Linked DNA regions of Coturnix japonica. The protein of the gene in region 1 interacts with the protein of each later gene in a pairwise test. Links are inferred from orthologs where the notes say so. Each region holds a gene or a part of one and is shown on either strand. Other genes may lie near its edges. The genes, in order: GOLGA1 and PDCL2.

What was found.
Region 2: the proteins of GOLGA1 (region 1) and PDCL2 interact in a two-hybrid assay, tested with the Homo sapiens proteins (2 studies listed by BioGRID). The two-hybrid records come from large-scale screens. The link is inferred for Coturnix japonica from reciprocal best matches to the Homo sapiens genes GOLGA1 and PDCL2.

Annotation. Positions count from the first base shown.
Region 1 is NC_029532.1:8,050,486-8,054,916, forward strand, and holds the start of GOLGA1 (golgin subfamily A member 1), read left to right. Parts: upstream 1-1,513; 5' UTR 1,514-1,632; intron 1,633-1,938; 5' UTR 1,939-2,115; coding exon 2,116-2,250; intron 2,251-3,010; coding exon 3,011-3,101; intron 3,102-3,774; coding exon 3,775-3,849; intron 3,850-4,342; coding exon 4,343-4,431. UniProt on the Homo sapiens protein: Involved in vesicular trafficking at the Golgi apparatus level. Involved in endosome-to-Golgi trafficking. Mechanistically, captures transport vesicles arriving from endosomes via the protein TBC1D23.
Region 2 is NC_029519.1:58,669,851-58,674,115, forward strand, and holds the start of PDCL2 (phosducin-like protein 2), read left to right. Parts: upstream 1-1,345; 5' UTR 1,346-1,428; coding exon 1,429-1,434; intron 1,435-2,460; coding exon 2,461-2,581; intron 2,582-3,752; coding exon 3,753-3,843; intron 3,844-4,265. UniProt on the Homo sapiens protein: Essential for male fertility, spermiogenesis and acrosome formation.

The DNA.
Region 1 (4,431 bases):
CACCCACAGGCATGCTGTTGTGAAGTGCCTCCCCCCGCTCTGCCTTCATCCTTACACTGTAACTCCATGCTGTGCCCGACGTCTGCTTTTCCTATGAGCTAAAAAGCTTGGAATCCGTCTGGACAACTTGTTTTTCATTTTGTTTTGTGTTTTGTTTTGTCTTGAGGCTTCTTTTGTAACAGCTTTATCTATGTTAGATTCTTCAGTAGGTGTTTGTATTACAGGTCACTAATGATGGCAGTAGCAGAGCCCTCAGTTAGTCCTGCCCTTTCCAGACCAAGTGGCTGCCTGGGTGTCAGCAGCTGATCTGTGATGGCTGCAGCTGTTCTGTGGCTGAGGAGCTGCGCAGCCTGAAAACTGTTAAAATCCCTTGGTGACTTTGCATAGCAGCACTGTCAGCTTGTGTGAGGGGTGTTGGTGTGGAGGGCAGGGCAGAAGTCTGCAAAGTGAAGAGGTTACAATTGCTGAGATGGCTCTCTGACATTTTCTAGTGTCTTTGACTTCTAGAGCAGTTCTGTTTCTGTGACCAAATCTATTGCATGTGCTTTGAAGATTCAGATATCTGCAACTAGAACAGGAGGAATACATCAATTTATTTTATTCTTCTGGGTTTTTGTTGTTGTTTTTTTCACTCTAAACCATTCCTCTGCCAAAACAAAAGAGATTTAGTTTGAGATTTTCAAATTGGATCATTTGGAATATCAAAGAGCATCTCTGCATCTTGTTGGTGCACTGGTGCACACAGAGATGTTTTGCCCTTGAAGCTCCTACTTTCACATTGCAGCTGCTGTTCCCTGGCCCAAAGGCGCCCTGGAGCCTCCTGCTTTGCAGCTGTTCAAGGATGAAGGCTTGTTCTTGCTATGGGCCCCGCTGGCACTGCAGGGCTCCTTTGGCACGTGTTGGTCATTGCTTCCTTCATCGGGGCTGTGTTAGGGCTGGTTCTGCCCGCAGGGCCCCAGAGCAGGAGCTGTGCCCTGCAGTGCAGCCATGCAGCAGAGCGGGGCTGGGCCTGCACTGCAGTGAAACCAGAAATCAGAACATTTGGTACCCAAAGTCATTCTATAATGGATTAGCTCGAAGTTATTTGACAGCCACGTGCCTGTACATCGTATTTTGGTAAAAGCAGATATTTTACTTAAAATAGAGATATATGAATAAAAGTTTTGGAGCAAATAGCTTTTTTTTTTATTTTTTATTTTTTTTCCATTTTCCAAAGGCTCTGTAAATTGCCAAAGCAATGTAATGCCAGAGAGTTCTATCTATGTTGGTGTCTGGGAGGAACGCGATGTGTTTGTATTACTGCTGCAATTGTCGGGGGGAAGTGAAAGCTGAGCTGGAAGTGCGACTGGGTCTGTGTCGGTTGGGCGCTGCACAAACAGCTCGGTTACGGCTCTGTACCGGCAATGACAATAAACGCTCGGGGCGGGGCTGCCCGCTGCTGCCATCACCCGGTGTGCCGCCTCTTGCACTGCCGCGGGACGGGGGGGCGGGGCGGGCACGTTGCGCATGCGTACCGGACGGCGGCGCTTCCGCCCGCGCGGCACTTCCGGGTCAGCGCCGGAGGCGACGGCGGCGTCGCGGGGTCCGGGCGGCGGCGGACGAGACGAGGCCGGGCCAGGCCGCGGGACGGCGGTGAGGGCGCGGGCTGTACTGCAGCGGGTTGTATTGCAACGGGCCGTATTGCACCCGGGGACCGCGGCCGTCTCCGAACAGGCGGCAGCTGCCGGGAACGGGCCGCCCGAGCTCGCCCTGTCGTTGGTGGCGCCGCGCTGCCCCGGGGCCGGGCCCAATTCTGGGGTGGGGGCACCGGAGGGTCCGTGCGGTGCGGCGGGGTCGTAGCGGGCTGTGAGGGGTTGTAAAGTACCTAAAAAAGCGTGTAGTTATCTCTAATGGGGGTGGACGTCTTCAGCATGGAAGCCTTATCGCCTCAATTTACAGGTGTTGTTAGGCCATGGAGGCTGTAATGGAACGAGAAATGCAATAAAGCGGAGTGGATGAAGCACAAAATTAAATCTCAGCTTCTGGAAGCTGTAAGCAGAGCATCGATGCGTTAGATATATCACAGGCACCGGCTTTTTGAAGCACCCGGCACTGCCAGTGCTACGGAGTAGTAAAATGTTTGCGAAACTGAAGAAGAAGATCGCAGAAGAGGCAGCTATTGCTCCCAGGCCCGGGGGGGCGGCCAGGATCCCACGATCCATCAGCAAAGAGTCCATCACCTCCGTGGGAGCGGACTCGGGAGATGACTTTGTGAGTTCTGCCTTACTCTGAGTTTGGGTTCTTAAGCCACGTTTGTGTCGCTGCTTTCCAGGATCCATTTTAGGTGTGCTGTGTGAGCTGAGAGTGCCCTGTGGTACCTCTGTAGGTGTATGTCTTAATATGCAGATGAATCAGTAGCTTGAGTCAGTTTAAATACCAAAGGGAAAATATTGTTCTGTTTACCATCAGAGTTACTTGTTTACCCATGTAAACATTAGTTACAAAGCTGTCTCAATAGAGAACATCATTCAGCACGTGTAGGACGTTGAATAAATGTTGAGTGAACAAGTAGTATGTGAGATGCCTAGTAGTGAAATTAATTTCTGAAGCGGTAAGAAAGCAGGAATTCCAAACTCAAAAACTTGGTATTCATTTAACTGTTCTTAATGCAGATTTTATACAGCTAGAAAGCCATAGAGAGTCCTGTGTCATTTATGCTTTGGATTTAACTTGGAATGACTGTTGAGTTCATTCCACATAAAGATTGTTGCTCTTTTTTCCTAGTTTCTAATTTGTCCAGAAGGCTTTTTCTCTGACCCGTCCCTTCTGAGCCTGGCATCGTTAGAGCCTGATTTCCTTTTTCCCCCAGCCATTCTGTTGTGCCACCTTCTTAGTGCTGGGTTAGAACAAACTGCTTTCTGCTGTAGGCAGTTATAAAAGACACTGGGCAGTGTTTATTGTTGTAGAGTTAGTATGTAACAGGATCGTTTTGAGTACATCTCTTTAGTTACATGGTTGTTCTTCTGTCGAGGCTTCTGATGGAAGCAGTTCTAGAGAGGATCTTTCATCCCAGTTGTTCAGAAGAAATGAACAAATAAGAAAACTGGAAGTCAAGTTGTCTGGTACGTGTCTTGATACATGTAAAATTTGATTGCTTAGAAGATAGTTTCCTTTCCACTTCAGTGTTCAGAGTTATGAAAAATGTTTGTTTCATTTTAGAAAGTTAACTTGTAGTATGCCCCTATCATTTTCATCTAGGTAGCATTTCTGCCCCTGTGCTTCAAACAGTCTTTCCCTCTCCACCCCCCTTTTTTATTATTCTATGTATGTGATGATTTGTTTCTCTTAGGATCTAAGACTTCTGATGTTGACAGTAACACAGGTGAAATGAAGAAAGAGGAAAGAATTCAGCATAAAACAGTCGCAAGGCTGTTTTGCTTTCTAGGATAATACCTCGTTCCATAGAGCTGTCAGTAAGGGTTCTGCTCTGACACTCCTTTCCATCCCTGTTGTATGGAGTGGAACTTCTCGTGTAGCTACCAGCACTAGGACAGACCCTCTTGTTTGTACCACTCATTTACCCTACGGACAGTGGAGAGCTACTTGCTTCTGTTCATTGTTACAGTCACCCAAGTTTTCCTCAGCAGAAATGATTTTCTAGTTGAGAAAATCATTGCCATTTTCCACTCATCTTTTGTTTTTTTTTTTCTCCCCCCTCCCCTTTTTTTTCCCCCCCCTGTTTCCTTCCCTAATGTCTGTCCATTCCTGGTCTGTGCTTCTCCCTCCTAACACAAGATTATGCTGATCAGATCCGAAACTTGCAGAAGATAAAAGAGAAGCTTGAAAATGCATTAGAAAAGCATCAAGATTGTACGTATTTATTTTTTAATCTCTCTTATGGTTGAAAATTGCTATGGTTTAAATATACCTGGAAAGAAACAATTTTTACATACAGTTTTTTAAACATTTATTTTCAAACTGTATACATGCAAGCTGCAAAGAAGTAGAACACAGGCTCCTGCCTTGCTAATGATGTAATAACAGCAGTGATGTGCTGGTTGTTGAACAAAGCTCATATTATGCGCTATTTGGCAAATTTGGGGCTAATGTGTAGAAGAGACTTTGCTGAAACGTACGGCTTTGCTGTAGTCCAGCTTAGAACAGGAGACATCTTTTGTTACTTCAGACACTTCTCTCACATGCAGGCAGTGTTATGTGATGAGTGGTGCAGTATTAGTGCTAGAGCTGAGATGGTGCTGAATGCTTGAAGAAGCAGCTCTATAAATATATGGATAACATAGAAATTTCAGAAGCAATTTTAAAATATGGATTTTTAATACAGTTGGTGCTTTTCTGTTGGTAGCTTCTATGAGGAAACTTCAAGAGCAGAATGAAGCCCACCAGGCCAACCGAGCCAAGATGGCTGAAGGAATGGCTTTGGCCTTAGAGAAA
Region 2 (4,265 bases), on another chromosome or scaffold:
GCAGACAGTCTTCTTTGAGATATGCTTAATCCACATATCTTTGTTTAAAGTGAGTAGAAGCTGTAGATGCTCAGTTCACAGACGAGAGAACAAAGTGTTTCTGGAAGAAAGAAATGAAAAAGATTAACAGTTTGTAAAGTTATCAATGATAAATGAAAGGTGTGTGTCAGGAAGAACTGATCCAACAACCCGTCAAATACATACTGAGAAGTAAACTGACAGCCTGGGTTGCTCTTACACAGAATTAACATCTGCCCTTACATTGAAATTAAGTGCAGACTTCAGATTTTGATTTAAAATCATTCAATTCTGTGCTAATATTCTGATGCTCTGTTTTCTAATGTATCTTGCACCTCTGACATATCTTAAGTAATTTGCTCTGCACCGTACCAATGGCTAAAACTTGTTCTTATTTTTCAGGGTTTTAGATTCCTGAAGTAGAACTAATGCTGCAAGAATGCTGAGTATATGGACATAGGGTTTTCCTCACAGAGACAGTTCCTTACTAATGTACAATTAAAAATCACTAGAATGTAAATGCTCTAACATAAGATTCACTTAACAATTCCAATGTTTCTTTACTTCCTTGATTATATTAAAAGCATATTAAAATGATTTGTTTCCCACTGTTATGATGTTTACAACTGTGTTAAATGGAACAATAAAAAATCCTCAGTGTATGCATGCAAGAGATATTGTCCCCAACAACACTGCTGTGTACATTTATTTGCCTTCACAAATAAAGGCTCTGAGAGAGTTGTTTTAATGGGAATGTTTGCAACGTAGGCTACCATTTTTTTTCTGAGTGTTCTGCAGATCTCTGATGTAGTTCTTAGAATGGCAGTTTAGTTTATTTTGTATTTGAGAGGGCATTCTTTTTATATACAATGATGCAAATTTATGTAGCCAAAGCGTTATATTTGCAAGTTATTATTCTGCTCTCATATTTACTGAAAATGCAGTCTTTTGTTATCTTGAGCAAGCTGAGTCCTGCAGAGAAGACTTACACCAAAGCAAAGCTTTCAAATGCCTGTTTGGTAAAGCAGTGCATGAAGTCCAGATGCAGAGAGATGTAGATCAGATATAAGGGAGAAGGTTTTTACAGTCAGGGTGGTGAGGCACTGGAACAGGTTGCCCAGAGGGGTGGTGGATGCTCTGTCATTGACCTAATAGCAGTGTAGACAAGGATTATTGTTAACACTGGCTGGTCACAAGGTGAGCAGAACTCAGCACCCCTCCTGCTCGCATGCTTGTGTGAGCAGCCGAAGGGCAGAGCACTGGCTTTCACACCCGTCGCCTAACCCCGCACCATACTGGCGCACCGCGGATCTCGCGCTGTACCAGCTGCCACTATGAGGTACATGGAACCGTTAGAACCCGGTTCTGCCCCAACCGCCACCGTGAAGAGCGGCAGGGCTGCGGGAGGCCATGCAGGTGGGTGTGAGACCGACGGCCTGAGGGAAACCGGGGGAAAAGGGGAGCTGCCGGGTGCAGCCCTGCGGGCGGGCAGGGCTGGGCACAGGCCAGCGGGTCGGGCTGGGCCGCGAGCAGAGCGGCCTGCACTGTGTTCCCCTTTGGGGAGGGGGAAGAGGGAGATCATTGCCCAAAGTGAGTTAAATCCTTTTCTCTCAGCAATAAGCTCTAGATGCTTGTGAGGCCAGAGTGCAGCAGGAGCAGTGTGTGTTGGGAGCAGTGCCAAAGGCCTGCTGAGCCCATGCAGGGCTGGTGCAGGAGCTGCCAGGAGCTGCTGCCATCTCCTGCCTGCTCCAGCCCTGCAAAGTGTCACTTCCTCATCCATGCCAGAATAAACTGGCAGAGGTAAAGGCCTTGCAGACCCACTGTGCTTCCCAGGGAGCAACAGGATGGTGCTCTTTACTGTCTTAGCGGGTTTCCTATTTCTTTACATCCGAGATGCAAAAGAATTTGTTTTATCATTACAAAATTCTTGGGAGCGTTTATATCCTAACACTTGACTTGTGGTATCATTAGAATTGTGTTGTTATGTTCCTGCTAAGCTCTGTAATCTGTTGAATAAAAGCAAGGCAGTTGCTGGCTGGGAAGGCAAACACATCACTCACAGCCGTGGTAATGATATAATGCAAATCCTGGGTGTTTCCTCAGGTAACCTTTTTGTAATGCAATGTTTGTTCATTTGATGCTGAATTATTACAAACGCCATCAAATATTTCTGGTGTATAAAAATCTATTCAGGCCTTTCTTCATGGAGGTTTTCAGTCGGTATTTCAAGGTAAAAAATACCACACTGATTAACAACCTGTTTCCAGTCCTTGTGAAAGACGTCCTTACGTGTTGCAGCCCAGTTACAATAAAGATTCTTTTAATGTGATAATCTGAGAATAAATGCAGCCCTATAAGTAGATGTATTTCCTTTATCTTAATTAAGTTATCAATCGGAAGGCTGATTTGTCAGTGTTGTTTTGTTCCATGATACCAAAACAGGACCCAAATGAAGATACCGAATGGAATGACGTATTAAGAAAGTTTGGAATTCTTCCTCCAAAAGAAGAGCCAAAAGATGAAACTGAAGATATGGTTTTACGCTTGCAGAAGGAAGCAGAAGGCAAGTCAAATTTCAAATACATGCTATTAGAATAATGACATTTGAAACACAGATGTGTGTGGTGTGAGGCTCATCTCCACGGTGGGAACCTTTCCTACTCCAAGGGCCATCCTTTGCTATCTCTTCCAGTCAAAATTAAGAGAACCTTCATAGACCACAGATCAAAAGGAAACAAGAGTGGAAAGAATGTAATCCAGCTTGTTTTCCCTCAAAACAGAATCAGTTATAAATATCCAATTCTCAGCAAATGTTCATTTTAAAAGTTGATTTTTCACAGAGGCTGTGGAAAAAAAAAAAAAGAAAAAAGAAAAAAAAAAGTATTTTCACTTTCTTTGCAGATACCTGAAAGTACTGCAAAATTATTACTGCAGATGTCATAGAATGGGTTGGGTTGGAAGGAACCTCAAAGATTATCCAGTTCAAAACGTCCTGCCGTGAGCAGGGTTGCCGCCCACTAGATCAGGTTGCTCAGGATCCCATCCAACCTGGCCAAATTTTTCCGGCCTCCTCTTTCTATAATTTCCTCTTAAAGGACAGAAAGCATTAAGGTGTAAGAAACGGAAGTGGCACCACAGACTGGGCCTCTTGGTTCCCACTGTTTTCCTACAGGCAAACATTTTTCCATAGAGCAACAAAGGCTCTTGTTTAAATGTGCCGTAGGAATTCTCACTTTCTGACAAGTTTTAGACTTGAGTTGAAAGGAAAGTTACAGATTGTTCAGGGGTTTTCAGATTCTACTGAGTTCTGTTCACTATTACAGAGCAGAGAAAGTTGTGTCTTCAGTGGTAGACTCTGCCAAATTCTCTCAGGCAGCATTGATCAGGATATTGTTTGTATAAAAATATAGCTAAAATACACTAAAATAATAAAAAAAAATATATGGTAGCATGACATACCTTTGCATACTGCATCATTTTAGTTACTGTCATCGAATGATTTGGGTTGGCAGGGACCATAAACATTATCTCATTCCACCCTGCCTGCCATGGACATGGACACCTTCTACTAGGTCAGGTTAGTCAAAACACCATCTAGCTTGGCCTTGAACACCTTCTGAAATCAGCATCTCTTTCATCAATTCCACGTCTGTATGATAATTTCCATGCATTTAAAATGTGCAAGCACTTTAGAGAACAAAACTATTTTTTTGTTGTTGTTGTTTTGTTTCTAGTGAAACCATATGAAAGAATGAGCCTTGAAGAATTAAAAGAAGCTGAAGATGACTTTGATGAAGCTGATAGGAAGGCTATTGAGATGTACAGGTGTAGTAAGATATTCCTGTATTAAGATACAATGAGACATCCTTTCTGTGACATACCATATACTGTTCCTGATCTGTGTGTAAATTACGATGTATTGCTAAAGTGTAACAGTGTTGTGTGTACATTTAGTCTTGCCAGTTCTACAGTGGCTTTCAGTCAGTACAATGAATAGCTTCTTGTAGTTCAACACATCTCAAGAAGGCATTTTCATTTTCTGTTTTCTACTTTGCAATTATTTTTACAGATGAAAGCTGCCATCTACTGGTTCCACATTCCAGTTTTCATGAAATATTGTTATGTGTTGTATCGTATTCGCACATTAAATACTGGTAGTTCACACTCAAGTTACTGATGTTTAGAATGATGATGATTTGCACCTGTACAGTGCTTTGTGCTTTTTCTCAGGTGATTAAAGCACTTCA